Oryctolagus cuniculus: one gene and its partners. The protein of the gene in region 2 interacts with the protein of the main gene of each other region in a biochemical or structural test. Links are inferred from orthologs where the notes say so. Each region holds a gene or a part of one and is shown on either strand. Other genes may lie near its edges.

Region 1 (7,740 bases), on a different chromosome or scaffold from region 2:
GCGGCAGCTCTCTGTGACACCCCCCCCTCCGCCCCCTCCGCAGGCTTCTCCGTGCTCTTCCGGAGAGGACATGGAGATCTCCGATGATGACAGGGGTGGCTCGCCCCCCCCAGCCCCGACACCGCCCCAGCAGCCTCCACCTCCGCCCCCGCCCCCGCCGCCGCCGCCCCCCTACCTGGCGTCCCTTCCCCTTGGTTATCCTCACCAGCCTGCCTACCTCCTCCCGCCCCGGCCTGATGGGCCACCCCCCGAGTACCCCCCGCCCCCGCCTCCCCCGCCCCACATCTATGACTTTGTCAACTCCCTGGAGCTCATGGATCGACTTGGGGCTCAGTGGGGAGGGATGCCCATGTCCTTCCAGATGCAGACCCAGATGCTGACTCGGCTCCACCAGCTGCGGCAGGGCAAGGGGCTGACTGCCGCCTCGGCTGGTCCCCCCGGAGGGGCCTTTGGGGAGGCCTTCCTCCCGTTCCCACCCCACCAAGAGGCAGCCTACGGCTTGCCCTACGCGCTCTATACACAAGGCCAGGAAGGCCGTGGGGCGTACTCACGGGATCCCTACCACCTGCCTTTGCCCATGACAGCCGAGCCCCTGCCCTCCTCGGTCTCGGGAGCAGAGGCCCGGCTGCCTCCCAGGGAGGAAGCCGAGCTGGCGGAGGGCAAGGCCCTGCAGTCGGCGGGCACTGTGGGGCGCGTGCTGGCCACCCTGGTCCAGGAGATGAAGAGCATCATGCAGCGAGATCTCAACCGCAAGATGGTGGAGAATGTGGCCTTCGGGGCCTTCGACCAGTGGTGGGAGAGCAAGGAGGAGAAGGCCAAGGTGAGGGCTGGTTCCTGGGCCCCGGGCCCCGGGCTCCGGGGAGGAGGTAGACTTGAGGCGCCTCCAGCCTATGCCGCACAGAACAAATGAGAGTAGATGAAGGCACGTGCAGAGCGAGGCCTCGGGTCGATTGGGCAGCAGGCGGCCGCAGGCCAGAGGTCGGGAGAGCTCTGTCCCGGCTGCGCTGCTTGCTTGTGGTGGACGAGCCCTTGGGTTTCTCTGGGCGTCAGTCTTGGCTTTTGCCATCTGTGAAGTGGGTGTGAGGTTGGTGAGTCAAGTGAGCAGGCTTCTGAGGACATGCTGTCGCGGTGTGTGACCCATCCCCGTCAGACCGTGGAGCAGGGAGGGCCGTTCCTGTACCCGTGGGGTCTCAGCAGTCCTCGGGCGGGGGGCATGCCTGGGCCCGGGGCTCAGTCCCTCTGCTGCCCACAGCCCTTCCAGAACGCGGCCAAACAGCAAGCCAAGGAGGAGGATAAAGAGAAGACGAAGCTCAAAGAGCCGGGCCTGCTGTCACTCGTGGACTGGGCCAAGAGTGGGGGAGCCACAGGCATTGAGGCCTTCGCCTTCGGCTCGGGGCTGCGCGGGGCCCTGCGGCTGCCTTCGTTCAAGGTACCGGTTCCGTGGTCTCGCTGAGTGGGGTGCAGGGCGAGGGGCCCCCCTCTGGGGAGGGGTGTGGGGGAGCTGTGTCTGTTCGGAGTTCCTGATGGGTCCATTCCTTTCCCCTCCCCAGGTGAAGCGGAAAGAACCATCCGAAATTTCCGAGGCCAGTGAGGAAAAGCGGCCTCGGCCCTCCACTCCGGCTGAGGAGGATGAAGATGGTGAGTGGGCGGGGCTGCTTGGATTCTGCCAGGGAGGCCCGAGGCAGGGGTCCAGCCGAGGGGAGGGCTGGCTCAGGCGTTGGAGCCGCCACGTTGGAGCAGCGTTGGAAGGGCTTCTTGATGGAGTGGAGTGTGCCGTGTCTGGGGTTTTCTGTTCTCAGTTTTTCCACCTGCAGAATAGAAATAGCAGTTTCAGTGCGTCAACTCCCAGAGCGTCAGGGTTAAACATGCCCCCCCCCCCCCAAGTTGCTGTCTGAGGCTCAGGTTCTGCACCTGCCTTCTGGTTGCTAAGCCCGTGCTGCTGGTTGACGGTCTGCGGGGCTGAGGCACTTCCTTGTTGAGTCAGATCTGCTTCCCGGTAGATCCGTTGGCCTTAGCACTTTCTCCTCGGACCAGCCATAGCAAGAGAGCTCCCTCTTCCACCGGGCCCAGACAAGGACAAGAGACAGAGTGGGTGGGACCTGTTGGGGAGTTTAAGATGTTAGGTGACTGAGGTGTTCGTGTTGCTCTATTGCACGTCAGCTTGTCCGCAGAGTGAGGTCAGGAAGCTCAGTGGTGGTGCGTGTGTACCTCTCCTTGCGTAGGGGAGGGAGGGGAAGGGCAGCCCCCGTGGAGGGCAGAGTGCCCTGCTCACCCCTCCCCTGGCCCAGATCCTGAGCGGGAGAAGGAAGCTGGAGAGCCAGGACGTGCGGGGACCAAGCCCCCAAAGCGAGAGGAAGAACGCGGCAAGACCCAGGGCAAGCATCGCAAGTCCTTTGCGCTGGACAGCGAAGGGGAGGAGGCGTCCCAGGAGTCCTCCTCGGAGAAGGTGAGGCCCAGGGCCTCCCAGGCCCTGCCAGAGGCCCATTTGCCGAGTCCTCGTCCTTGTAGCCAGCTTCTCTCTGGCCTGTGCCTCCTGGAGGACAGTTGTCCCCTTCCTGAGTCCCTGTTCTTTCTCGTAAGGATGAGGAGGACGAGGAGGAAGACGAAGAAGACGAAGAGCGAGAGGAAGCTATGGATACCGCTAAGAAGGAGACAGAGGTGTCAGATGGTGAGCGCCGTTGGCTAGGATCTGGCGTGGGGAGGACGGGATTCAGCCACCTGGCCACCCCTTTCCCGGCCCTCACTGCCTTCCTGTGTGGCTCCCGTTCGCCCTCTGAACCCTTGGGCCCTTGGGAACAGACACCCCCGTCCTTGCCGCGCTCCTCTGGTCACCTCTTCCTGAGACACGGCTCTCTGAGGACCGCCCAGCAGAGCCTGTGCCTTTCCCCAGGCCCGAGATAGGGGCCCGGCTCCTCCTGGTGCCCGGATGTGTCCGGCCTGTACCTTCCCGCTCTGCCACTTCCTCCTCCTTCTGGCCCAGCCCCCTCGGCTGCCATCACCAGGCACCTCGGTGGAGCACCTGTGTGTTGCCCCACGTCCCTTGAGGTCTTGGGGACTTGGTTTTAATTCTGCGCTGAGCCCCGCCTGTGTGCCGGTGGCGTTGGAGGTGACGTAGCAGTGACCAGGACAGTGTGCTTCCTGCTGTGGCAGAGCTGGTTGCACAGGAGTAGGCTTGACAAGCAAGTGGGCCCGCCGTGCCCCTTCAGACAGATTTGTGCTTTGAAGAGGATAAACTAGATCGATGCGGTAGAGAGCGCTCGAGTGGGGGCCTGGGAGAGGAGCTGCCTCAGCCGGGCGCGGTGGGTAGAGCGCCGATCCGAGGGCCTCCCTCACCGGTCATTTAGGGGCCCGGCTTTCCTAAGGATGCCGGCTGCAGACCCTACACGTCCACTTGACCACCAGGTCGCAGGCGTTTGAACTTCTGAGTGCTTCTTGATTCGGTTTGCGCTTTCGTCCTGCCCTGTTGCCTTGGACTCGGGCAGCCGTCTTGACTGCCCTGTCTCCGTTTCTACTCTTCCACCTCCTCCCCAGTCCCGTTTCCAAACCGCCTCCAGAGTTCTTGAATTCTCTTACCTGCAGTGTGTGCCTGACCCTGAGGTCTCTCTCTGGGCTCCATCGCTGGCCACGGGGTAGCTTGGCAGCCCGACACCGGGGCTGCGGTAATGCGGCCCCTGCTTCTCTGCTGGGCTGCGTCTCGGCATTCTCCAGTGCCCCCCATGCCCCGCCTCCAGCTTCCGTTCTGATGTGCCCACTTACCTTCCCGAGACTTCTCCAAGCCCTTGCCGTATGTGGCCCGTCTCCCAGAGGCCTCAGGCAGGTCCCGTTTTCCAGGCTCATTTCACCCCGGGTCCTCCTGCAGGGAGCCTGTTATCCACTGTCCCTGACACCCGCTGGGGGCCAGAGCAGACGCCTTGCGCGGCCCCCAGCCTCCGCCCTCTCCCTGCTCCCTGTCCCTGCCTTCGGCATCCTCTCGGATGTCATCCCTCACTTGCTCCTTGAGACACAGCCCGGGGCTTCCCTCCGCCATCGTCCCCATGGCTGTCGCGTTGTCAACTGACCGTTTACGTGCCCAGCATTGCCAGTGAGGGGTCCGGGAATGAACTCACGGCTTGACCCGGTCGAGGGTCTTCTCATCTCGCCTGATTGCCCCTTCTGGATTTCCAGGCGAGGACGAGGAAAGCGATTCGTCCTCCAAATGTTCTCTGTATGCCGACTCAGATGGTGAAAATGGTAGCACGTCGGACTCGGAGAGCAGCAGTTCCTCCAGCTCCTCCTCCACCTCGTCGTCGTCCTCGTCGTCCTCGTCGTCGTCTTCGTCATCTGAGTCCTCTGAGGAAGAGGAAGAGGAAGAGGAGCACCCCCCGACCATCCCCTCAGCCTCGTCGCCTCCCAGAGACGTCCCAGCGCCCCTGCCAGTGCCTGCGGTTGAGCCCGTGCCGGAGGGCGTTGCAGCCTCTGCTGTCACACCTGCCCCCGAGCAGGAGGGGTCCCCAGCGCGGCCTGCAGGTAGGTGCTCCGGGCCGTCGGCCGGGTCTGAACAGGTGCGTGCGAGCCGTGGAAGCCGGGTGTGTCGGCTGTGTGCGTGTCCCTGGGTGTTCGTGGACACGTGACAGAGAAAAAAGTCACTGTCTCTTGTGAGTCCCACTCGGCGACCTCCGTGGCCGCGTGCTCAGGCTGCCCTGCTGTGTGGTCTACAGCGCCAGGCCCCGGGCTTTGGCTACTGAGATAAACCAGAATGGCCCCTTCTCAAGCACATGAGGGAGAAACTTCCTGGTTTGGTAAATACTTCCTACTCGTTTTCATGAAGCCCGTTCCTTTTTTATTTTATTTTATTTTTTTTTTATTTGACAGAGTTAGTGAGGGAAAGAGGCAGAGAGAAAGGTCTCCCTTCCTTCTGTTGGTTCACTCCCCCAAATGGTTGCTATGGCCAGCGCGCTACGCCGATCTGAAGCCAGGAGCCAGGTGCTTCCTCCTGGTCTCCCATGCAGGTGCAGGGCCCAAGCACTTGGGCCATCCTCCACTGCCCTCCCGGGCCACAGCAGAGAGCTTGCCTGGAAGAGGGGCAACCGGGACAGAATCTGGCGCCCCGACCGGGACTAGAACCCAGCGCCCATATGGGATGCCAGCACTGCAGGCGGAGGATTAGCCAAGTGAGCCACGGTGCCGGCCAAGCCCGTTCTTTAACACGTAGTATGTGCAGGCAGTTAGAAGGGCAAATGGGTCTAAAACAAATATTGACCTGTTAACCCAGAACAGTTCTGGCGTTGCCTTCCTGTGTGGATTTGCATATTTAGTTGTTTTATAGCGTGTATGTACAATTATCCTACTGAGTAACCTACTTGTTCAGGCACTAGATTTTTCAAAATTTTTTTTTTAACTTTTTTATTTAAAAGAGACCAAAACGTCTCATCTGCTGGCTTACTCCCTAAATACCCACAGCAGCCAGGGCTGTTTCAGGCTGAAGCCAGGAGCTGTGCGCTCCAATCTGGGTCTCCCGTGTGTGTGCGAGGGACCCAGGTGCTTCCCAGGATGTGCACTGGCAGGAAGCTGGAATCAGAGCAGAGCCAGGACTGGAACCCAGGCATCCCAATGTGCGACGTCCGATGCCTGCCCGGGCACTGGCGAGTTACAAGTACTTGCTGTGGCCAGGCGGTGGCTACTGGGGATACGGCGTTGTGCCCAGCAGGCACTCTTCTTGCTCTCAGGAAGTTTGCAGTCTGTAGGGAGAGATGACCTGGTTGAATAATAAATATAAAAGCAAGGAAGAGCACAGGACACTTGGAATCTGAGTGCTCCTGCGGCCCGGGATGGTCTCCCCGCTGAGACGTAGCCAGGCTGCAGTCCCTGATCAGGCAGGGAAACAGCAGGGTGGAGACCTGGAAGGAAGTGAACCACCTGGAGACCGAGAGCTGCAGGAGCGGGCACAGCTGAAGCAGTGATTGGCAAGGGCGGGGCCCTGAGCCTGTTAGGAGGGTGGTCTTTATGTCGTGGGCAGTGGAAAGCCGATGGAGAAGTGACTTGGTCAGATTTGCGTTTTAAAAAGATGCAGTGCAGAGAAGGCTTGGAGCGGGCCAGAGTGGGCGCAGGGAGACTGTTGGGAGCCCGTCACGGCGGCAAGCGGGCAGTGGGCAGAGCGCACTGGGGCGTTCCCCCAGTGGGAGCCAGCAAGTCAGTTTTCTGGGTGTGCTTCAGAGACGCACGTGGCCTCCCTGGCATCTCTCACTTGAACGTGGCAAGTCTGTGGTCCAAGGTAGGCAGTGGCCACGAGAGGACCTGTGCAGGCCCGGATCTCAGGAGAGGCAGATGGAGCCTCGCATAACTCCACAGGTGGCTCTGCAGCCGCTCCTGCGTCCTTGGGGCACAGGCAGGGCCCAGGCCTCACTCACTCTTCTTAGGCTTTTTTTTTTTTTTTTTTTTTTTTAAGATTTATTTTACTTGAAAGTCACAGTTACACATAGAGATAGAAAGAGAGAGAGAGGTCTTCCATCCGCTGGTTCACTCCCCAGATGGCTGCAATGGCCAGAGCAGCACCAATTTGAAGCCAGGAGCTTCTTCCAGGTCTCCCAGGGGCCCAAGGCCTCGGGCATCTTCTGCTGCCTTCCCAGACCACAGCAGAGAGCTGCACCGGAAGTGGAGCAGCAGGGTCTTGAACCGGTGCCCATACAGGATGCCAGCACTGCAGGTGGCGGCTTTACCTGCTGTGCAACAGTGCCAGCCACTGGTCTTTCACAGTCAGTGGGACAGGAAGGGGGCGGGGCATGGCCAGATCTACATTTCAGAGACCATTCTGGAAGGAGGTAGAGTGACATTAGAAGGTTTAAAGGAATGCAGGTGCGGTCAGGGCATGAGCCAAAGCAAGGGATTGATAATGAGGCGCAGGGGAGTGGAGTGGGGGTGCAGACGGGAGAACTTGGGAGAGGGACAACTTGGTGAGAATACCTACTGGGGCAGGGGACTCGGGAGAGAGAACCAGGATGAGGAAGAAGACAGATGACATTAGTTGGGGTTGACTTTGAGGCACCTCTGGGGCCTCCAGGCGGAAACATGGGCGCTGGCCGGCCGGACCCGAGGCTCTGGGGAGGCTGGGAGTGAGTAGAGATACAGGGGTAGCGACGGTGCGGATGTGAACGCCCCTGCATGCCCAGGATGAGGGAACGAGGCCCGGGCTTGGAAGCCCTGTAAAGAGAGAGGTGAGCGACACATGGGGCACCAGGCAGAGGAGGCTGAAAGGGAGCCATCGGAAGGGCGAGAGGGGCCCGGGGCAGGTGAGCCCCCAACCCCAAGGGAAACTCAAGTCTCATAATCATTTGGTGCAGTGACTAAGACACCACTTGGGGTACCTGCAGCCCGTATCCGGGAGCCCACATTCACATGCCAGCTCCACTTGCAACCCCAGCATCCCACGCGTGACACCTTGGGAGGCAGCAGATGATGGTTCAGCTACTTGGGTTCCTGCCACCCAGGCGGGAGACCCGGATGGAGTTCTGGCGCCCACTTCCGCTTGGCCCAGCCCCGGCCGTTGCAGGCATTTAGGGTGTGAACCAGTACACAGGAGACATCGCTATCTTGCAGATAAAATGAAGAGGTTAGACCGGGGTTTACAATTAAGTAAGTGAAAAGGGTGTGGACCATATCATCAGGCCACAGGAGAGGCTGGTAGATAGGGAGGTCTGTCGGCCTTGACAGTTAGGTCATCCTGGGTGACCTGAGCAGTTGCAGTTGAGTGGCTCAGACTGAGCC
Region 2 (6,618 bases):
GCTCCTGTGTGACGAGGACAGAGAAGCGGGGGTGTTCAGGGATGCGCCCGGGCGGACAGCAGGCTGTAGGGGCGCAGCCAGGTCGCCCGCCGCTCAGCCGGCCCCGAGGGGTTTTTGCGACTGGGGATGGAGTGGAATTGGGCCCCGCGGGGTCCTTGATGAGGAGGGTGCCGTTGCTGGGTTGTAATCTGTACCCCCGAGGGACAAGTCTGGGGGCAGAAGAGGGTGCAGAGACCCGGACGCATGCAGGGCCCGCCCCTGTGGCAGGCAGAGGGCAGAGGGCAGAGGTCAGAGCCCAGGCCGTGGGGCGCTGGGAGAGGACGTGCAGGGACACAGGTGGGGGTGCGGGTTGCACCTGCCCAGGCCGCAGGGGCCGGCACCCCGTGTCCTCACTGCCTACCTGCAGGGGGCGCCCCCACCTTCCTCCTCGGTGCCGGCTGCGGGGAGGGGTCCTCCCTGGGGAGCAGCGCGGGGCGGGGCGGGGCGGGGCGGTGTGCCGGCGCTGACCGCTGGTGACTCCCTGTCCTCGCTGCTCTCCCCTGCTCTGAAGTCGCATCTGGGACACCGCCTCGGGCCAGTGCCTGAAGACGCTCATCGGTGAGTCCCGCGGCTGCCCCAGCTCCGTCCTGACCTGCCCCAGCTCCGTCCAGACCTGCCCCTCAGCACTGCCGGCTGTGGCTGGCAGCCCCTCCTGATGGCAGGTCAGCTCCTGCAGGGGCCAGCGTGCGGCGCTGGGCCTGTCGGGCCTCGCCCGGGACGGCTGCTCCGGCCTCCGGGCCTCCTGCACTGGGCTCAGACCTGCCGGCTGCTGCCCGCAGCAGAGCCAGCGTCCGGGCCTGGTCTGAGGAACGTGCGTGGCCCCGTGGTGGCACCCGTCCTCGTGCCTGTCCCCAGGCCGGGTGCAGAGATGCTGAGTAACCAGGGCCACACAGCAAACACAGCAAGTGGGTGCTGGGCCAGGACTTGGACCCAGCGGACGGTTAGCACGGCCCAAGCCGCAGGCACGAGGCAGGGAGGAGAGGCCGGTGGCCTTCGTCTGCTCTCCCAGGCCCGGCGGACGAGCGCTCGACTTCTCTGGGTCGGGCAGTACGGGTCAGAGGCGGCGGGCGCTGGTTCACGGTAGCCGACGTGACCGGCTCGGCTGGCGGCTGCGTGGCCTCACCCCCCACGTCCCTTTGCAGTGTGTGTGAGCAGCCCACAGGAGCGGAGGCCCCGCCGAGCCCCTGGGGGTAACGCTGGGTGCCGGGTCCTCCCTGGTGCTGGGGACACCACGCCACACCGGCGCACACCCCAGGGACCCTGCCAGCCCAGGGGCACCCGGGGCCAGGGAGCGGCTGGCCTGACACTGGCCCGGGGCGCACCTCCCTGTGTCCCCTGGTGAGGAGGCCGGCACAGTCACGTCCTGGACCCTGGCCTTGGTGTTGCCGTGTGTGGGAGCGGTGGCCCCTGTAGCTGCAGTGCCGGCGCCCTGGTGAGGCTCTCGGGCCCAGGTCAGCGCCTGCAGGGCCAGCCTGGGGGTGACGGAGACCTCGGCCTCTGCCAGCGGCACCGCCAGCCTTGTCCCGAGCTGGGGGCGTGCCGGGGCCTGGTGGCAACCCTCACCGCTGGGACGGGCGTGGGCGAGGGCTCCAGGGTGGTGCTGGCCGCACGTGTGTGCCTGGGGGACGGGGTGCCGGGTCAGCCTGCCCGTCTGTGCCGCAGATGACGACAACCCCCCGGTGTCCTTTGTGAAGTTCTCTCCGAACGGCAAATACATCCTGGCCGCCACCCTGGACAAGTGAGTGCTGCTGCGGGCGCCTCCCCGGTGCACCGCGCGCTGCCGCGGGGCGCTTAGTGGCAGCCCCCAGCAGCCGCCGGCCTCCGTGGAGCAGCACCTGGAGCCTCTGGGTGGGCACCTGCCAGGCCAGCCCGGCCCCCTGGTGGCCCCCTGCTCCCCTCCGAGGTCAGGGTTCCTGGGGGGGCAGGGCAGCTGGAGAAGTCCTGTGGATGTTCCCGCACGCAGCGTCCCACGGGGCTGGCGCTGGCTGGGTGGGGCAGGGGTGCGGTGCGCGCCCTCCCGGCTCCGGTGGGGACCGCTGACGCCCCTCACCCATCTATGCCTTGCAGCACGCTGAAGCTCTGGGACTACAGCAAGGGGAAGGTGAGGGGCGGGTCTGGGGGCCGCTGAGCCGGGAGGGGCTGGTCTGGGGCGGCTGGGGGGGGTGTCTGGGGGCGGCTGAGGGGGGTGGTGTCTGGGGTTGGCTGAGCCGGAGGTGGGGGTCTGGGGGGAGGGGCAGGTCCGGGGGCGGCTGAGCCGGTAGGGGCGGGAAGGGCTCAGCCGGCCCCCCCTTTCCAGTGCCTGAAGACCTACACGGGACACAAGAACGAGAAATACTGTATATTTGCCAACTTCTCCGTGACTGGCGGCAAGGTCAGTGCGGCTCGCTGCAGGCTGCCCTGGGCCTCCTGGGTTTGCCCGGCTGGGTGCAGGCGCCAAGCGGGCCCGTGGGCGTGCCCGGGTGCCTCCAGTCTGGCTGAATATGGCCCTGTGGGCAGGGTGGGCTTGGGGCGCCGTCCCTGCCTGGGGGTGGGGCGGGGCGGGCCTGGGGGGCGTGGCCCGAGGACCTCCAGCCTGCCTGAGAGTGGTGGTGTGGGTGGGGCGGGCTGGGGGCGTGGCCCGGGCGCCTGCAGCTTGGCTGCGGGGGCGGGGCTTCTCCGTCTAGTGTCCCGCTCCTAACAGGGCCCGTGCACACGCGTGTGCGCCCACACTGCCAAGTGGCACAGTCGGGAAGTTCTTGCATGCATCCTGAGTGTGGGGGCCGGGGCGGGGCCTCTGCACGCGTGAGCTCTGACCTGCACGCGTGTGCTCCCCTCCAGTGGATCGTGTCCGGCTCGGAGGACAACCTGGTGTACATCTGGAACCTGCAGACGAAAGAGATCGTGCAGAAGCTGCAGGGCCACACAGGTGAGGCGCGGCCCGGCGGAGGCGGGCTTTGTGCAGGTCCCCTCGCGCCCCCGGGGCGCCGCAGACCCCGACCCTTGCCCGGGCCAGGGCCCTGGGACGTCCCGGGCTGCGAGGCGGCCGCGCTCCTCTGGGGTCGGGGGCGGGGTCGGCGTCCCTGCCCGGAGCCTGGGCACGGGCAAGGGGCGAGGCTGGCCCTGGGCCCTGGGCACGCGGGGAGGGGGGCGTGGTGGGCAAGGCCGGCCCCGGGAGCGGGGAGCGGGGCGGGCGGGCCCCCAGCGCGGGCCACAGCGCGTCCTTGCCCGCAGACGTGGTCATCTCCACGGCCTGCCACCCGACCGAGAACATCATCGCCTCGGCGGCGCTGGAGAACGACAAGACCATCAAGCTGTGGAAGAGCGACTGCTAGGGGGCGTGGCCGGGGCGTGGCCACCCGGGGCGGGGCGTGGCCGGGCGTGGCCACCCGGGGCGGGGCGGGGCGCCCCCGCGCGCTGTGCCCGCGCGGCGCCAACAAAGTTCTCGTGTGTCTCGAGGGTGACGTCCAGTTTCGTGAGTTGTGTCTTTGCGTAAACGTGCTGCACCTTTCTTGGTTTTTCGTTGCCCAGCGCCCCTGCTGCGACCACTCCCGCCGCCCCGCTCCGTCCCGCGCTCCGTCCTGGGGCTCCGTCCTGGGGCTCCGTCCTGGGGCTCCGTCCTGGGGCTCCGTCCCGGGCTCCGTCCCCGGGCTCCGTCCCCGGGCTCCGTCCTGGGGCTCCGTCCTGGGGCTCCGTCCCCGGGCTCCGTCCCCGGGCTCCGTCCCCTGGGGCAGCCGCGCCCGGCCTGGGCGTGGGCGGCCTTGAGGGCTCCCTGGGGACGCGGCCGGCGCGGGGCGGGGGCGGGAGTCGAAGGGTCTCCCCGAGGACGCGGGCCCGCGCTGCTCCTGGGCTCCGGTGTCGCAGGGCACCGCCCGGGACCCCTCCCCAGGCCGTGCTGCAGCCCAGGCAGCTCGCGGCTCCTGTGGGTGGGGGCCGCCCAGGGCGGGGCCGCAGAGGCAGTGGGGCCGCCCCCGCTGCCGGGCCTGGGACTGCGCCGGGAGAGGTGGGTGCGGGGGCTGGGCGCAGCGCCGGGGCGTCCCCGGGACCCGGACTCCGGCTCTGGTGGCCGCGGCTCCCTCGGGGGCTGTGAGTGGCCGTGTCCCGGATATAGTTTATTTTTTCTACATTTGAATTCTCTGTTGTAGATTTATGTAAAAATACATTTCTTTTTGAAATTAAAGATTTTCATGTCTTGTAATTTCGTCCTACAAGAATTCTTCTTTCCTTTTTGAGGTTGTTTCCTGGAAGGCAGAGTTAGGCAGACACGGGGGGGGGGGCTTGCACCCAGTGCTCAGGCCCGCGTGGGTCCCCTTGGGGGTGTCGGGGGCAGCAGCCCTGCGGCTTCGTCCTCCGCCTGCCGGCCCGGCCCCGCCGGACGTCCTTGGTGTGCGGAGACCTCGGCTGATGATGGACAGCGGGAGTGGGCGGGCCGAGGTGCGCCCCCGCAGCCGGAGGGACCCCTGCAGGAAGCCGAGCGCCGCGGTGTGGCCACCAGGTTTCGGTTTCTAGAACAATCCGAGGGGCGGAGAGAACCCATGCGCTCTGCTCGCCCCAAGCGCTGGCAGGCCGGAGCCGGAGATGGACATGGGCGCCTGGTCACTGTCCCCGCGGGGCCACAAGCGCCACGTGGCCAGGGCCCGCCCCACTCCGCGCCCGTGTCTCCCGTGTTGCCGGGGAGCCCCCCGCCCCCCGCAGCTGGTGGGCCTGGAAGCGCCCACAATGCAGGGCCCTGAGGGACCCCGTCTGCTGGGGGGCGGACCGAGCAGGGAGCCCCGGGGTCGTGGGGGAGGGTGGCACCCAGACACAGCCGGGGTCCTGGGGCGCGGAGGCCCAGGGCAGGCCGCGGTTCCGCGCCGCTCTGCGGAGCGTGGGCTGGCTCCAGGCCTGGGCACGTGCGTGTCCGTCCACGCTCCTGGCCTTCAACGTGGGTGGTGCTGACGTCAGGCCACGGCCAAACCCCAGGCCCCTAGCAGGCTCCTCCAGGGTCTGCAGCCGAGGTCCTGCGTGGGTGTCGGGGCCCGAGCGGCCCGAGGGCGCCTACTCCGCTCTCCACAGTGGGCCGGGGGACACCTCAGCGCCCCCACCCCTGCTTCCGGGGCCTGCCCCTCCTGTCTCCTGCAGAGACCCCCACCCTGCGGGCGCGGGCCGGCCGCCCCCTCCTCTCTCGGTCCCCTTTCAGGGACCCTGGGACCAGGAAGGGGCCGCGGGGCCGGCGGAGCGGGGTGGGGTCGGCTGTGCCCGTGGCGTGGGCGTGGGCAGTAATAAAAAACAGTGGTTAGATGCCACGAAGTAGGTGGCAATGCCTTAACCGTATGTGTGTTGTAAGGCCCGAGGGCCTCTTCCATCCTTGTCAAGGGGAGTGCTAACCTTCTCTCCTTTCATACAACACGGCTCTCAATCCGTCCACAAAGTATTTAAAGCCCAAAAATCCACTCACTTTACGGCGACGGTGACTTTCACTCAGCCTACACAGCTCATATTTGCGAAGTACTGAGGAAAAGACGAAAAAAAACCGCTGTTCCTCCGGAGACTTTTATTCACTCGAGCGTAATAAGAACAAAACAGACCTGCGTTTGTGTTTTAATATATTCATAAAACTAGCCAATCAGAGGCTGAATGGAACAACCGGAAGTCCCGGGCGTCCTTCCGCGAGGCCGAGTCCCCCGGAAACAAAACAGGGAGGGCGCGCTTCCTGCGGCGACGCGACGCGCCTCGCCGGCGGACGGAAGCGCCCCGCACCCTCGGCGGAAGTGGATGTGGCTGGTTTCGAATCAGAGAACGAAGTTCGGAAGATCCGCCCACGGACTTCCGGACGCGGCTCTGCGCTTGGAACTGTGGGTGCTCGGGGCGTTGGGGCCGCGGGGCGCTCAGGGTCTGCGCATGCTCTGCGCGGTCGTGTGGCTGCGTGGTCGCGCTCCGCGGGCCGAGAGCCCGCGCGGCCTGCGTGGGTCGTGGCGCCCTCGGATCCGGGTGCAGTGTCCGCGCGTGGCCCTTGGGCTCCCCGCGGCGGTGGTGGCGCCCTCGCTGGATGGCGCGTGCGTCCGACGGCCCCGCAGCCCTGAGCGCCGACTGTATACGCGCCGAACGCTGCACCTGCGGGCGCCGAGGCGGGGCCGGGCCGGGGGTCCTGGCTCTGCCCCTGTTCCCTGCCCTGTCACTCACAGCCGGTGGCTGCGGCCAGGAGCCCCCTGCCCTTGGGCCTCCCGGGCTGGGGCTGGGCTCACAGGACCCCCCCCGCCAGGTGCGGACCTGGGGCCTCGCCCACCCCACACTCCGGCCCCCGCAAGATCCTGGTCCCCGGTGGGCTGGGCGCGAGGGGCCCGGGCGCCCTGGAGCCGCTGGCCAGGCTCCCCAGCCGTACGGTGGGTCCGGACCTCTGGGGAGGGGGGCGCAGGGTCCCGCCCCCCCAAGTCAGGCCAGGAACCTGTATCCATGACCCCCTCCCCCGTGCGCTGGCGTCCCAGGGGCCGGGGTCTCCTCGCCCCCGGGGGCCTGGACTTGTGTCCTGACGACCCCCACGCCCAGGGGGTCGGCGTCCGCGGCCGAAGCCCCGCCCACACCTTCGGCCGGGGTCCCGGGCAGAAGCCCCTGGGGGGCCGGGGC
Region 3 (7,740 bases), on a different chromosome or scaffold from region 2:
AGTTAATTCAGGGGTCAGCAAACTTTATGAATAGCCAGCTAATAAGTGATGTATCTTTGTGGGCTATATGGACTCTAGCAACCACTTGATTCTACCTCTATAGCAGAAAAGCAGCCATAGACAGTATTTAATGAATAGGTAAGACTGTTCTAGTAGACTTTTATTTATGGAAACAGATCTCCATGCAGACTGTATAATTTGCTGACCCCTCATGTACAAGATGGAATAAAAATTTTATCTTGAAATTGACTTTGGGCCGGCGCCGCGGCTCACTAGGCTAATCCTCCGTCTTGCGGCGCCGGCACACCGGGTTCTAGTCCTGGTCGGGGCGCCGGATTCTGTCCCGGTTGCCCCTCTTCCAGGCCAGCTCTCTGCTGTGGCCCGGGAGTGCAGTGGAGGATGGCCCAGGTGCTTGGGCCCTGCACCCCATGGGAGACCAGGAGAAGCACCTGGCTCCTGCCATCGGATCAGCGCGGTGCGCCGGCCGTGGCGGCCATTGGAGGGTGAACCAATGGCAAAAAAAAAGGAAGACCTTTCTCTCTTCTCTCTGTCTCTCTCTCTCACTGTCCACCCTGCCTGTCAAAAAAAAAAAAAAAAGAAAAAAGAAATTGACTTTGGTTTTAAGTTGATCACATAGCTGTTTTATAAATGTAAAATCATTTTGAATTGGTATTTTGTATTTTTTAACCCTCTAATTTTATCCTGTCTTTCACTGTTTGTTTGTTGTTTTTTTTTTTTTAAACCAGGCCCAAGCACGATGTCATAGAATTGGACAGAGCAAAGCTGTAAAAGTATACCGTCTCATCACTCGTAATTCCTATGAGAGAGAGATGTTTGATAAGGCTAGCCTCAAGTTGGGATTGGATAAGGCTGTACTTCAATCCATGAGTGGTCGGGATGGCAACATTACTGGAGTGAGTTTTCTTAGTCCATAGATAAGTTTATAATGAGTCTTAGTGATAGAGATAATAGATATTTTTTTCTTTACAGGAATCTGAGTACCTTGTTCAGATTCTGAATTCTTTTTTAAGTTTGTTATTTACAAATAATTTTATCAATTATTTCTTATAATGTAATGGCCCAAAGATGAAGGCATGGGGCCTGTTTTGTGGTACAGCGGATAAAAGCCACTGCCTGCTATGCCAGCATCCCATATGGATGCCTGTTTGTGTCCCTGCTGCTCCACTTCTGATCCAACTCTCTGCTATGCCCTGGGAAAAACAGCAGAAGATGGACCAGGTGTTTGGACCCCTGCCACCCATGTGGGAAACCAGGATGAATTTCTGCCAGGCCCAGCAGCCATCTGGGGGTGAACCAGCTGGAAGATATCTTTCTGTCTCTCTGGCTATCTCTGTCTTTCTGTAACTCTGACTTTCAAATAAATAACTTTTTTTAAAAAAGATAATACTATCATGTACTTTTTTCATCTTTCTGTTGGGTTTTGTAGATCCAACAATTCTCCAAGAAGGAAATTGAAGATCTCTTAAGAAAAGGAGCATATGCAGCAATAATGGAAGAAGATGATGAGGGCTCCAAGTTTTGTGAAGAAGACATTGACCAAATCTTGTTAAGACGAACTACAACTATCACCATTGAATCTGAAGGAAAAGGTTCTACCTTTGCCAAGGTATGATCTGTCTGTGCCAGAGAATGGTAAAGCAGGGATAGAAAAAGGAATCTGTAAGATTAAAATATATTTTACAGATATAATTATCGGGGAAAATGTTTGGTGCAGTGGTTAATTTATTTTTTTTAAATATTTATTTATTGCCGGCGCCGCGGCTCACTAGGCTAATCCTCCGCCTAGTGGCGCCAGCACACCGGGTTCTAGTCCCGGTTGGGGCGCCGGATTCTGTCCCGGTTGCCCCTCTTCCAGGCCAGCTCTCTGCAGTGGCCAGGGAGTGCAGTGGAGGATGGCCCAGGTGCTTGGGCCCTGCACCCCATGGGAGACCAGGAAAAGCACCTGGCTCCTGGCTCCTGCCATCGGATCAGTGCGGTGCGCCGGCCGCGGCGGCCATTGGAGGGTGAACCAACGGCAAAGGAAGACCTTTCTCTCTGTCTCTCTCTCTCACTGTCCACTCTGCCTGTCAAAAAATTTAAAAAAATAAAAATAAAAAAAAAATAAATAAAATATTTATTTATTTATTTGACAGAGAGAGGCGAGGCTGGGGGGAGGGGGAGTTCTTCCATCCATTAGTCCATTCCCTAGTAAGCCGCAGCAACCAGAGCTGCTCCAATCTGAAGCCAGGAGCCAGGAGTTTCCTCTGGGTCTCCCACATTGGTGCAGGGACTCAAGGACTTGGGCCATCTTGTACTGCTTTCCCAGGCCATAGCAGAGAGCTGGATCAGAAGTGGAGCAGCCAGGTCTTGAACCAGCTCCCATATGGGATGCCAGCACTGAAGACAGTGGCTTTACCTGCTATACCACAGTGCCAGCCCTAAGGTGCAGTGGCACCTCCCATATCAGATGGCCTGGATTTGTGTCCCAGCTCTGCTTTGGATTAGCTTCCTGCTATTGTGTACCCTGGGAGGCAGCTTGCTATGGCTTGAGCATTTGGTTCCCTGCCACCCATATAGGAGACCTGGATTGAGCTCCTGGCTGTTGTGGGTGTACGGGGAGTGAATCAGCAGATAGGCGATATTTTTTTTCTTCTCTTTCTCTCTCTACCTGCCTTTCAAATAAACAAAACTTTCAATTTTTTTCCTCACTAGGCAAGCTTTGTTGCTTCTGAAAATAGAACAGACATTTCTCTGGATGACCCCAACTTTTGGCAAAAGTGGGCCAAAAAGGCTGACCTAGACATGGATCTGCTGAATAGCAAGGTGAGCTTAAGTCTTCCTTTAGGGAAGAAATACCTCAGAAGACACAAAACTTTTCAGGATTCTTTGTTGCTTTGTTGTTTAGATGGCATATTATACAGAAGGGCTGGTCTGGAAACATTCTAACCCAGGAGGCCTCAGAAAAGTACTTAGAAATCTACCACTTACTTTTGCTTCTTGAAGATTATTTTACATGTCCTTGAAATATCTCTTTGGATATCTGCATATGTTACATACCAGGCTATTTCAAACCTTAATTGTCTTTAATTATTTTCTTATGAGCATATAATGAAGAGAGTTTCTTCTGTCTGCACAGAACAATTTGGTGATTGACACACCTAGAGTACGAAAACAGACCCGCCACTTTAGCACGCTGAAAGATGACGACCTAGTAGAGTTCTCTGATTTGGAAAGTGAGGATGATGAGCGGCCACGCTCCCGAAGACATGACCGGCATCATGCCTATGGGCGCACTGACTGCTTTCGGGTGGAAAAACACCTGCTGGTATATGGGTACGAACTCAGCTTACCATGAGAGGTGCTATATCTCCATCCTGACTGACACCCTGCTTGTCTTTCAAATTGGAGGCTATGACCAAAGAGGGGACAATCAGATTTTTGCTGTGGAGGGAGTTTACTCCTGTTACTCCTTTACTGTGTTGTTCAAGATCTTTTAATCTCTTACCTTTTGGAAGATGTAATTCTTGCAGGTAGGGGAATATTGCTGAATTAGCATTTCCAGAAAAATATTAATATAGTTTTATTTTCTGTTTAGTTGGGGACGATGGCGAGATATTTTGTCTCATGGACGCTTTAAGCGACGTATGACTGAACGAGATGTGGAGACAATTTGCCGGGCCATCCTTGTCTACTGTCTTCTACACTACCGTGGGGATGAAAATATCAAAGGCTTCATTTGGGACTTGATTAGCCCCGCTGAGAATGGCAAAACCAAAGAATTGCAAAATCATTCAGGTAATTACCAACTCTTTACTTTTCATCTTTTTGTCGGTTATCTAGTCCCTTTTCAGATCCAAGGGTTTTTCTCAATCCAAGTCTTTGATGTCTCCCCTTTCCCAGGTCTATCTATCCCTGTGCCCCGTGGACGCAAAGGGAAAAAAGTAAAGTCACAAAGTACTTTTGATATCCATAAGGCAGACTGGATCCGAAAGTATAACCCTGACACTTTGTTCCAAGATGAGAGTTACAAGAAGCACTTGAAACATCAGTGTAACAAGTAAGAACTGAATTTCGTGAAGAAATTTCCCAGCTCAGACTTTGTGCACTGATAATGAGCTATCTTTCTCCTTCCCTTCTCCTAGGGTACTGTTGAGGGTACGAATGCTATACTACCTGAGGCAAGAGGTTATTGGAGACCAAGCAGAGAAGGTGTTAGGGGGTGCCATTGCCAGGTATAGTTTTTCTGTATTTTTCTTTATGTTCTGCCTAATTCCAAGAAAGGTTGATTTGCTTATTTCATTCTGTATTTTCCTTGGGATACCTGTTAGTTTAAATCTCTATACATCAGGTCTTTAATCCTATATTTGACTCTAGTGGTAGGAAATACTGATCATTTGAATTAATGGATTAAGGAAAATAGCTATATTAATCTTTCTGAGAATTATCACTTTAATTTCTGCATTGCTTTGCTGACTCTGCCCTCCTGTATCTTTAGTGAGATTGACATATGGTTCCCGGTAGTGGATCAGCTGGAAGTTCCAACAACATGGTGGGACAGTGAGGCTGATAAATCCCTCCTCATTGGAGTCTTTAAGCATGGTAGGTATCTTCCCCTAGTCTAATTTCTTTCCTATTTAAGATTTATGTCCACAGATGAAACATTTAGCAAAAAAACTCAAGAACAATGAGTCCTCTGACTGATGTTCTATAAATTATGTTTGAATAGGAGCAGAGCAGTTAGATGCTATAAATAAATGTTCAAGAAAGGCCAGATGGATAGTTAAGGCGGGGAGCCTCCCATTGGTTCTATAATCACGATCAACAGTATGATACCCCACTGTATGTTGTGATGCTATGTTGAGGTTCCACAAATCAGGGGAAGTAATATATGCCCATTCCTGTTAGTAATGACCAGACTTAATTTGTATGACTTTCCTGTAGCTTGTTGAAAAGTGTTCTACTTATCTAAGTGGCCCAGTTGTCTAAATGTTCAACATTCAGTCTAATGTAGGTGTGAGCAGCAGTTTTTTTTTGTTTTTGTTTTTGTTTTTTTTTGACAGGCAGAGTGGTCAGTGAGAGAGAGAGAGAGAGAGAGAGAGAAAGGTCTTCCTTTGCCGTTGGTTCACCCTCCAATGGCCGCCGCTGATCCGATGGCAGGAGCCAGGTACTTATCCTGGTCTCCCATGGGGTGCAGGGCCCAAGCACTTGGGCCATCCTCCACTGCACTCCCTGGCCACAGCAGAGAGCTGGCCTGGAAGAGGGGCAATCGGGACAGAATCCGGCGCCGGTGTGCTGGTGCCGCAAGGCGGAGGATTAGCCTAGTGAGCCGCGGCGCCGGCCGAGCAGCAGTTTTTGAGTTAAAACAAAAATAGAGTATAAGATCACAATATACTCAGTTTTGTCTACTAACAAATCGCAGGCACTAAAAGCATTGAGTACTAATTTCCAGCACAGTGAGTTCATGAATGGAAACCTTTTCTTTTTCTAAAAATAGTTTTCTGTTAAATAAAATAAAAGTAATCACACTTAATCTACATATTTGTGAGAAGTTTAATGAGATAAGAAAAACTATGAGCATTTGTAGTCTGAGATTTACTTGTGAAACACAGGTAGAGTCTAGTTATCCTTGAGTGTGTTCATCAAATATTCACTGAATACCTATTTATATAAAAACCTAAGTTTCTTATTCTTCACTTGAGAATGTGTGACCTATCATTAAATTATTTAGCTTTATTTATCCTTCTGTATATTAATGATGAAAGATTACCAGTTATGTGGTTATGTAAATCTATCACCATAATATAAAAATTCTTTGACTAAATACCATTTAAAAATTCCTTTAGTTTATGTATTTTTATTTATTTGAAGGGCAGAGAGAAAGATTTTGCATCTGCTGGTTAATTCCCCTACTGCCCACAATAGCTGGAATTAGGCCAGGCCAAAGCCACGAGCCTGGAACTCAATCCAGGTCTTCCACATGGGTGGCAGAGACCCAAGTAGTTGAACCATCACCTGCTACCTCCCAGGGTATACCTTATTAGCAGGAAGCTGGAATTGGAAGTAGAGCTGGGACTTGTAACAAGGAACTCTGATATAGAATAAGGGCTTTCCAAGCAACATCTTAACTAGTGTGCCAGATGTGTGCCCCTCTTTGATTAAATTCATACCAGCAATCACTAATTTAAAGTCTTCATGATTCTAAATTGCTATAAAATGTCAATTATAATAATACAACCCAACAGCTACCCCCATTAACATTTTACCTATATTTTGGATTAAGAGCAAAGTAACACACATATTCCAATTATTCCAGCATCTACATAAGCATACAGGCAAAATGAATCTGATTTCCTTCTACTTTTGGTTCTTTTTCTTCTAGGCTATGAGAAATACAATACTATGAGGGCAGATCCAGCCTTATGCTTCCTAGAAAAGGCTGGCCGGCCAGATGATAAAGCCATTGCAGCAGAACATCGAGTGTTGGATAATTTCTCTGACATAGTAGAAGGGTAAGCATTGGTGTTTAGTTCTCTTAAAACTTTGAGCTCACTCTATGAAGCTTGACCTAAGAGATAACATAACCACCCTTTCTGAACCCATTGGGATTCAAACTTTTAACAGAGTGGACCAGCGGATATGGCTTGATAAATTAACCTAAAGCACATGACACCCTAAGGTACAACTAAGGGTGAAATGTAATGTTATACCCAAGTGACTCATTGAGTAGTTGTTCTAATGCACTATATAACATTCTTCTGCACAGCCACAGAAGCTGAAACAACAGCTGATTCTCTTGAAAGAGAGGAGTCAGGCAGCTCTCACATGTTGCTTATGTGGTATAGCCTCAGGCAATTTCTGCCCTGGTTTATCATTTTCCAGTGCTGCCTGACACATAAACATATTTATTCCTCCTGGATGCATGCCCCAATGATGAGTTGCCATGCTAATACTGAGCCACCAGGTAGGGCATTATTGCCCTGGTTTGGGTGCCAGTGAGTTTAACAAAACTTCTCACATGAAGACCTGAGGGGCATGTGAAATAGTTGGCTTAGTTAATGAATACCTACCCATGCCTACACAATTTAGAAATTTCTCATTGTTGATCACAATTTCAATTTGCTGTAGGACCCTCAAAGGAAATTGGGTCATTTTTCATTGCAAATCAATTATTACTGCTCATTAGAACATGGTAGTAAAAACAAAAACAAAAAACATGGACCATTCAAATATCATAGTAAAGAGTAAATAGTTGAGAAAGAGGGAGAGGATGGGTTAAACAATAGAAAGAGCTATAGAGAGGAAGTATTCTGATTAAAGTGTTTGATTTCAAATACAAGCAATTATGAGTGTCACTTTGTTGGTTTCTTGTAATTTCTTGTTTTGTTAGATGCTGTACCTAATTGGCCCAAAGCTTAGCACCCGCCCTGCTATTCCTACAATCATGAAATTAAAGACTATTCCATGCTGGATTGTATGTTTGGCCAGGTCTTCATCCTAGGTCCCTCTTAGTGATAAAAGATATATTATTAACATTTGCTTATGCCTCTGGATAATTTTAGGGTTGACTTTGATAAGGATTGTGAGGATCCTGAATATAAACCACTCCAGGGTCCACCGAAGGACCAAGATGATGAGGTAAGGAATTCTCATTTGAGTCTAGCTTTTCTCCATTACTAAATAGTTAAGTCTTCTCCCATTCTCTGAATCTTGAAGTATATTAACTTATCATATAAACTAGAA
Region 4 (7,505 bases), on a different chromosome or scaffold from region 2:
TGGGGAGTCGGAGACAGCAGAGACCCGGAGCTTCGGTGGGGTTGTCGGGTGCGAAAGGGCCAGCGGCACAGCCCCGCTGAGCGCCCAGGACCCAGGTCTGAGTCTGAGCGGCGGTGGCTGTGCACTCCCAGGGCATGAGCATCCCCGCACAGCCCCACGCCTCCACGCGGGCCGGCTCGGAGCGGCGTTCGGAGCAGCGCCGCCTGCTGTCCTCCTTCACTGGCAGCTGCGACAGTGACCTGCTCAAGTTCAACCAGCTCAAGGTGAGACGGGGCGCTGCCCGCGGCAGCCGTGGCAGGGCCGGGGGCCTGGGGGGCAGGGCTCACTCTTCCTTACCTGCCTCCCTCAGTTCCGGAAGAAAAAGCTCAAATTCTGCAAGAGCCACATTCACGACTGGGGCCTGTTCGCCATGGAGCCCATCGCGGCCGACGAGATGGTCATCGAGTACGTGGGCCAGAACATCCGCCAGGTAGGTGCGGCCTGGCACGGTGGGCACCTGGGTGGACGCAGGCCGCGGGGCACTGCCTGACGCCCCGTCGCTGGCAGGTGATCGCGGACATGCGGGAGAAGCGCTATGAGGATGAGGGCATCGGCAGCAGCTACATGTTCCGGGTGGACCACGACACCATCATCGACGCCACCAAGTGCGGCAACTTTGCGCGCTTCATTAACCACAGCTGCAATGTGAGTACCGGCCAGGGCCAGCGCTGCCCCCGCCTCTGTGAGGAGGACCCGGGAGCCCCCGGCAGGGGAGCCGGCTTGGCCTCCTTCCCAAGTGCAGGTCATGTTCATGGGGAGGTAGGGATGTGAGGCCCTGTGCGAGGAGCCTTGTTCAACTCCGAGCTTCTGTCTTCTCATCTGTAAAATGGGCACAGTGAGGCTTTTGTTGCTGTGTGAAGCACTAATGGTGCTCAGGAAATGTTGCTTCAGCCGTGGGCTCCCCCCAGTGCCTCCTTGGGCGGGGCTTGGAGAGAGCTCAGGCTCTCGGCACAGCCTCCCCCGGGGACTCCCTGCAGTGGGCTCCATGTCTCTGTGTTGTCCACTGAGGAAGACTGGCCACACATAGGATCGAGCCCTTGAAATGTGGCCAGTACAACTGAGGGACTGAGTCTTGAGTGAATTGAAGCTTAGATTAAATTTTTTTAAAAGATTATTTGACAGAGTTACAGAGAGAGAGAGGGAGAGACAGAGAGGTCTTGCCTCCGCTGGTTCACTCCCCAAATGGGTGCAATGGCCCAAGCTGGGCCGATCCGAAGCCAGGAGCCAAGAGCTTCTTCTGGGTTTCCCACATGGGTGCAGGGCCGTCTCCACTGCCTTCCCAGGCCATTAGCAGGGAGCTGGATTGGAAGAGGAGCAGCCGGGGCACAAACCGGTGCCCATACGGGATGCCAGTGCCGCAGGCAGAGGCTTAGCCTACTACGCCCCAGTGCTGGCCCTGAACCAGGTGGTGCAGGGCTGGAGAGGAGGGGGCGCTGCCCGCGGGATTCCTGTGCTGAGGGAGACCCGGCGCCACAGGCAGCTGGTGCCAGCAGAGGAGCCCTGACTCGGGCCAGGCTTCGGCATCCTTGCTGTAGGACAGTTACCATCACTGCGCCTCAGTTTCCCCATCGGTGAAGCAGAGGCAATGGCAGCCGTCCCGTCAGAGGTTGTGGAGTTCCGCGTGAAGGTCCTTGGTGTGTGCTCACACGGCCAGCCCCGTACGCGTCCTCGCTCTCACAGCTGTGACTTGGTCATTGTGCCTTAGGGACCAGAAGAGACTCTTCCTGGGAGTCTGTGAGATCTGAGAGACAAAGAGTGGGAAGTGGGGCAGGTGTTCTGGTCGGGGAGTGGTATGTTCAAAGGCCTGGGGGCAGGGCTGGAGCAGCTGTTTGAGGGGCAGCATGTGGAGGTGGTGGGTATGAAGTTAGGGGCTGAGAAGACGAGGCAGGCAGGTTGGATGGGGCCAGGGTGCTGACAACATTGGAAGGCTTGGAGCCGTAGGGTGGCTCTCGGGAGAGCTTCCCCTGGCTGCTGGGCTAGGAGTGGGGCTGCTGCCATCCAGGGGAGCAATGATGGGGGCCCCGTAGACGGACTCAAGAGTTCCCTTAGAAGCTCGAACGTCCCAGACACGGTGGGGCTGGAGCTGGCACTGCAGGAGGAGGGGAGGTGGCTGCTCAAGGGCCCAGGCGCCCGGTGTGGCCTCTGGCCCAAGCAGGAGCGGGTCACAAATTCAGGTTCGAGCTTCTTGAGTCAACGCCACCTCCCAGAGCAGCTGAAGGCAGGTGCCAAGCGGGTTCCTGGAGTCATGGGTCTGGGACAGGAGCCACATTGCTCCGGGTCAGAATTTTTGACTTTGTGGCCCAGGTCATGTCTGCAGCAGCTGCCTAACTGCGGCGGGAACAGCGGCAGCCACAGGTGACACGCAGGGAACGGGTGAAAGGGGGTGGCTGTGTGCCAATAAAACTTTGTTCAGAAAATCAGGCAGCTGGGGGCATGGCTGGTAGCACCCTTGTCTCAAGCTCAGAAGAGAGGGCCTGGCTGGCAATACAAATTGCAGAGTCACCTGCAGTAGGAAGGGAAAGGGGGACCCTGTGGCCGGAAGTCAGGCCCCGAGCAGAGGTGCGGTTGGGTCGGGGGGGGCTGGGGCTCACCCTCCTCCTCCTCTCCTGCCGCAGCCCAACTGCTACGCCAAGGTGATCACGGTGGAGTCGCAGAAGAAGATCGTCATCTACTCGAAGCAACACATCAGCGTCAACGAGGAGATCACCTACGATTACAAGTTCCCTATCGAGGACGTCAAGATCCCCTGCCTGTGCGGCTCTGAGAACTGCAGGGGGACCCTCAACTAGCCCCGCCCGGCGCCCACATGTCGGCCGGGGCCGGCCCCAGCTCCCGCCTCATTTCAGGTGCTGTCCCTCTCCCCCTGTGGCCCCGCCAGGGCCCGGCGCCCCAACACTACCCCAGGACACCCCCCGCAGCTCCAGCCTCTCCGCGGGAAAGGGCTTCTCTGTCCGTCAGCCCACGTCTCTTCGTTTCCAGAATTGCTCCTCTGAGGATCGTCCTTGGCCATGAACTTCTGTCTCTGTGTCTGACTCCCACACCCAGTCCCTCCTCTCCGGCTTTCTCCATCTTTTTTCTGTCTGTACCCTCGGCTCCTTCCCGTGAATGCTGCTACGTTGTTTTTGTCTTCTCTTTATTTTCGTCCTCGTCGTAAGAAAAGACATTTTAACCGTTGAAATGTGAAGGCAGAATCAGAGCGGGGCCTCGGTTCCACGACTGAGGTGCTGGCCAGGTGCTGCGGGCAGGGGCCGCCAGCGGCTGTGACCTCAGAACACTACGTACCTGCCAGGCCCCCTCTGCCCGCCACGCAGCGAGGAGCCCCCCAGCCTTCTCCACCCACTCCCCAGTCTCTTCCCCGAGCTGCTGGAGGAGCCATCCAGTCCCAGGCAGGAGTGCGCCGTGGGCTCCCTGCTCCCCACCCCCCAACCTTGGGTTCAATGTTTACTTTTTCATTCGGATGCCAGCAGCGAGGGAGCCCCCGGGGACCCCAGACTGGGTGTGGGGGCTGGGAGGGGCTGGTGAGCTGCCCGTGCCCGCCCCACCACTGCAGCGTGGCGCGTTCGCGTGGAGAAGCTCCACGCCCCCCGCCCAGCGTCGACCCTGCCAGGCCAAAGCATATTTATTTGCTGAGTGAGCAGCTTATTCCTCCCAGAGAAAGCAGAATCTTGGAGAGAAGATTTGAAAACTCAGATCCAAGTCTTTGACAGTTTTTTCCCTTTTGACCCCTTCCATCCTCTTCAGGGTTTATATCCATGGATTTTTGTTTCTTATGCGTGTGTAAAATCCAGACGAAGGGGGACACGATGGGTTTGGCAGTTCAGCAGCAGCCCCTGTACATAGACTGCCGCGAAGGACTCCGGGGCACGTTGTTTCTTGTGGAAACAGATGGGGGGCTTAGGCCTCACTGCTTCGTACTTCCGGGAAAAACCACGACAGGCGCACGAGCGCGAGCCCCCCCGGCCCCGGCGAGCAGCGCAGGCGTGTACATAGTCTCTGGAACGTGACTGGTGACCGGCGGCTCCAGGACGAGAGGCCCCGCGGCGCGGCTCCCACCCGTGGACAGACGCGAGGCCTCTGCTATCTCAGCTTGTGTCAAGCTTGTATCATGTAAATTCTGTACAAAGAATTGTTATTTTTCTCTCTTTTTTTTTGTCGTTGGTGGTTTTGTTTTTTTGTTTTTGTTTTTTTTTCCAGTTCACCCCAGACCCTCTCGGGTTGGAGACCGAGCCCGCCGGTTTCAAGGCGAGGAAGTCGGTGGCATTAGGATGCGACAGGGTGTGGGGTCCCTGGGCACCACGGCAACCTTCTCTTCCACGTGCGGTTCTTTGCCTTGTTGTGCAACTGAGGAAATATTTATTTTTCACACAAGGAAATGTGTAGTTGGCAGAGACTTCATTCTCACCCCTCCCCTCCCCCCAGGAAAGAAAGAAGTGGGGGGAGGTGAGGAAACCAGGGGAGGGGCTGGCCTCGCCCCACCACACTGGGGCCACTGTTAACTTCCCCAAGGGCCAGGGGCTGGGCCCCCTCCCCGGAACCCCGCCCCTACCCTGGAATGGTTTGCAATAATCTAGAAGAGTGTTGGCTCATTTTTCTTTCAACTCCTTTGTTTGCATTGAACAAATCTCTGCTTTTGAAGGTTAGGGGTTTCTGCTGTGCCCCCCGCTCTCTGCGAAGAAGAGAAGAGATGAAATCTAGGGGTGTTCGTGTGTACACTCTGTCACCTGTATGTAACTTGTTTTGAAGAGAAGTGTTTCCGTTGTGGGTGTGTGTTGCTGTAAATATTTGTTCATATTTTTGTGAATTCAATACTATGTACCATTGTATTATAGTAACTTTTATAAAGCAAACCATAAATACACTGACTTTTCTTACAGATACGCCATCTCTCTCGCTCTCCTCTCTCTGCCTGTCCTCCTCGTTCTCTCTCTCTGCGGGGAGCACTCCCCGGCCAGGCTCTGCGCAGCAGTGTGTGGCGTGGTCCACTGGGTGGGTTCTGTGAAGTGGGCCACATCACGGTCAGACGGCCTTCCATAGCCTAAAACTTTAAGGTGTCACCGCCTGCCCTTGAGATCCGATCAAGCATTCTGTGGCCATCATCAGAAGAACCCACAAAGAGTGTGTGCTCAAAACACCTGACACCCACAGGGCCAGGGTGACAGGTCCTGTGCCTGTGGCACTCCAGAGGTGCTGGGCGGAGAGGGCAGGGGCACTGTCCAGGGAGTCTCAGAAGGAGACTCCAAGACTGCAGACAGCACCCGGACTGGGAAGACCCCGCGCCTCCCTTCTCACTAAAGAGATGCCAATGACAGAGGGACACCATTTCCCCATCAAGGCGGCAAATGCGAGTTTGGAAATAGCCAGTGTTGGCCGGGCCGGCAGACAGGGCGTGCCATTAGCAGGAGCCCACTTTGCTGCGGGCTGCGGGAGCCCTGCGATGGGGACCATGGGGACAGAAGATGCTCATACCCTTGGCCCAAATATTCTGTCAAGAACCAAGCCTGACGGACACAGGACTGTCGCAGCGTGCTCTGGCGATGGTGACGTGAAGCCGGGGTGCGCTTCACTGGGGTGGGCTGGCGGGAGGGAAGGGAGATCTCCCCTAACTCACTCATTTGCCCAGTACCACCCAAGCACCCACCGTGTGCCAGTCTCGCAGGCCCTGGGGAAGCATCCTGAGCTGAATGGCTTGAAGAATGGAGGTGGGAAGAAGAGAGAGCTAAGAGAAGGGGTGTCCATTGTGGGGGCAGGTGTGGGGGGTCGGCTGCAGTGGTGGGGAAGAGGCCGTCCAGGAGAGGGAACAGGGAGGGCAAAGGCCTGCAGGCAGGAGCCCACCTCAAGTATTAGAAACAGCCGGATGGCAGGTGTGGCTGCCGCCGACCAAGGGCGAAAGGTGCTGAGTGAGCGCTTGGGTGAGGCCGGCAATGGAGGCCTCGCAGGGCAGCACGAGGGGGCCACACCCACACATTCCATCTTCTCCCTGGAACTTGGCTCCTGACGGATCTTCCATCTCTGTCAGTGGCATCTCTGCCTCCCACCTCCACCCACCACTCCCTGCTGCCACCTAAACTCAAGACCCCCAGCGACCCTGGACTCCTGCCCCCCACCCCATCCTGCCAAACCTGATGGTGCCTCCTTGTTGCCCCGCCTCTCCCTCTCCCCCTGCCCTTCTCTTCATTGGTTCTGCCAAGGAGGGGAGCACAGGGGGAGCGCCGATTGGAGATAGATGCGTTCCCGGCAGCCTCTCTGTGCCAGCCGCTATTTTAAACATCCGACCCTCGAGCCATAAGAGAGGGATAGTCCCATTGCACAGATGCAGAAACAGGCACAGAGAGGTCAAGACGCTTGCCCAAGTTCACACAGCAAGCAGCTGATCTGGGGTGTGAACCTGTCCTCAGCTAACGGGGACCTCCCCCCAGGCCCCACCTGCACAGGCCTCCCACTCAGCATCCAGCATTTGAGGCTAACTAGAGGCCTGATCGTGCCAAGAACCAGAATCCTAGACTTGCATTTGAAACAGCTCAGCTTGCCGAAAAGTCGGCTCAAATGTGTTTGAAGAAGCCTCGCAGGCAAGCGAACCATCGTCTGCGAGCCGGTTCTGGCCCAGCAGCCCCCCATCTGCAACCTCAGGGCAACAGAATTCCCCTGCTTTGCACCAGCTGTGCAGAAGCGAGGGTGCTTTTGCCCGAAGCTGGGGCCTGATCCTCTGGGATCTCTCGGGTGTTCTTTTCGTTTTTGAAGTTTCTGATCCCTGAAGATCCAATTTCTTCTACCATCTGAAAAAAAATAGGATAAATTCCCCATTTCCCCCTAGGACACCCACCCACGTGGTTTCCTTGCACTGCGATCCCAGTGGACTCCCGGGAGCACAGGGAGAGGCCAGGAACGCACCTCCTCCTCCCCTGCCTGCTTTTAGAGGAAAGTCCCCGAGCTCCAAGGGCTGGGGACCAGAGGCGGCAGACGGGGGTCGGACCCCCGCACCCGCGCGCCCTGCACCCGGGTGGTCGCGGGGCAAGGCTTGCGCCCCCAGCTCCTCGGCTCCCGCTCGCTCAGCGGTCTGCGCGCCGCCGCATGGCACATCTGGGGACAGGCCGCCTGCCCAGACCACGAAGCCCAGCTCCGTCGCCGCTCCCGGCTCTTGCACCTGCCCCTCTGCCCCCGGATTTCCCGCGGCGGGCTCCCCGGTGCCACCCCTCAGGGGTGCCTCTTTTCGCTCGAGAGGAGCCCCTCCCCTCTCCACCGCCACGTGATCCCGGCACCGGCTTTATAGCACTCGCCTCTCCACGAAACCGCGACGGAAGCCCAGCCCTCCCTAGCTCCGGAACGCCCCCGGCATCCGCGCGCCGGCCCATTGCGGCTGCGCGTCCCGACCCCGCGCGCGGGCGCCGCCGCTCCAGACTCCCCCTGGCGGCGAAGAGGAGCTACTGCGCCTCAGCATCCACACGCCGGTTGGACTGGGGCGAGCTTTA

The links.
Region 1: the proteins of WDR5 (region 2) and SETD1A form a complex in vitro, tested with the Homo sapiens proteins (4 studies listed by BioGRID, with this or other methods). The link is inferred for Oryctolagus cuniculus from reciprocal best matches to the Homo sapiens genes WDR5 and SETD1A.
Region 3: the proteins of WDR5 (region 2) and CHD8 form a complex in vitro, tested with the Homo sapiens proteins (2 studies listed by BioGRID). The link is inferred for Oryctolagus cuniculus from reciprocal best matches to the Homo sapiens genes WDR5 and CHD8.
Region 4: the proteins of WDR5 (region 2) and SETD1B interact in a test that uses a peptide from one of them, tested with the Homo sapiens proteins (3 studies listed by BioGRID, with this or other methods). The link is inferred for Oryctolagus cuniculus from reciprocal best matches to the Homo sapiens genes WDR5 and SETD1B.

What each region holds. Positions count from the first base shown.
Region 1 is NC_091450.1:6,180,224-6,187,963, reverse strand, and holds part of SETD1A (histone-lysine N-methyltransferase SETD1A), read left to right. Parts: intron 1-43; coding exon 44-820; intron 821-1,252; coding exon 1,253-1,429; intron 1,430-1,550; coding exon 1,551-1,638; intron 1,639-2,288; coding exon 2,289-2,446; intron 2,447-2,580; coding exon 2,581-2,668; intron 2,669-4,164; coding exon 4,165-4,506; intron 4,507-7,740. UniProt on the Homo sapiens protein: Histone methyltransferase that catalyzes methyl group transfer from S-adenosyl-L-methionine to the epsilon-amino group of 'Lys-4' of histone H3 (H3K4) via a non-processive mechanism.
Region 2 is NC_091432.1:235,837,846-235,844,463, forward strand, and holds the end of WDR5 (WD repeat-containing protein 5), read left to right. Parts: intron 1-550; coding exon 551-597; intron 598-1,701; coding exon 1,702-1,777; intron 1,778-2,106; coding exon 2,107-2,140; intron 2,141-2,335; coding exon 2,336-2,410; intron 2,411-2,856; coding exon 2,857-2,944; intron 2,945-3,249; coding exon 3,250-3,350; 3' UTR 3,351-4,213; downstream 4,214-6,618.
Region 3 is NC_091443.1:53,536,745-53,544,484, forward strand, and holds part of CHD8 (chromodomain-helicase-DNA-binding protein 8), read left to right. Parts: intron 1-746; coding exon 747-914; intron 915-1,447; coding exon 1,448-1,627; intron 1,628-2,712; coding exon 2,713-2,823; intron 2,824-3,136; coding exon 3,137-3,333; intron 3,334-3,595; coding exon 3,596-3,795; intron 3,796-3,876; coding exon 3,877-4,057; intron 4,058-4,142; coding exon 4,143-4,232; intron 4,233-4,495; coding exon 4,496-4,599; intron 4,600-6,379; coding exon 6,380-6,509; intron 6,510-6,922; exon of another isoform or gene 6,923-7,032; intron 7,033-7,559; coding exon 7,560-7,635; intron 7,636-7,740. UniProt on the Homo sapiens protein: ATP-dependent chromatin-remodeling factor, it slides nucleosomes along DNA; nucleosome sliding requires ATP. Acts as a transcription repressor by remodeling chromatin structure and recruiting histone H1 to target genes.
Region 4 is NC_091452.1:7,204,353-7,211,857, reverse strand, and holds the end of SETD1B (histone-lysine N-methyltransferase SETD1B), read left to right. Parts: intron 1-131; coding exon 132-263; intron 264-349; coding exon 350-469; intron 470-546; coding exon 547-684; intron 685-2,654; coding exon 2,655-2,828; 3' UTR 2,829-4,916; downstream 4,917-7,505. UniProt on the Homo sapiens protein: Histone methyltransferase that catalyzes methyl group transfer from S-adenosyl-L-methionine to the epsilon-amino group of 'Lys-4' of histone H3 (H3K4) via a non-processive mechanism.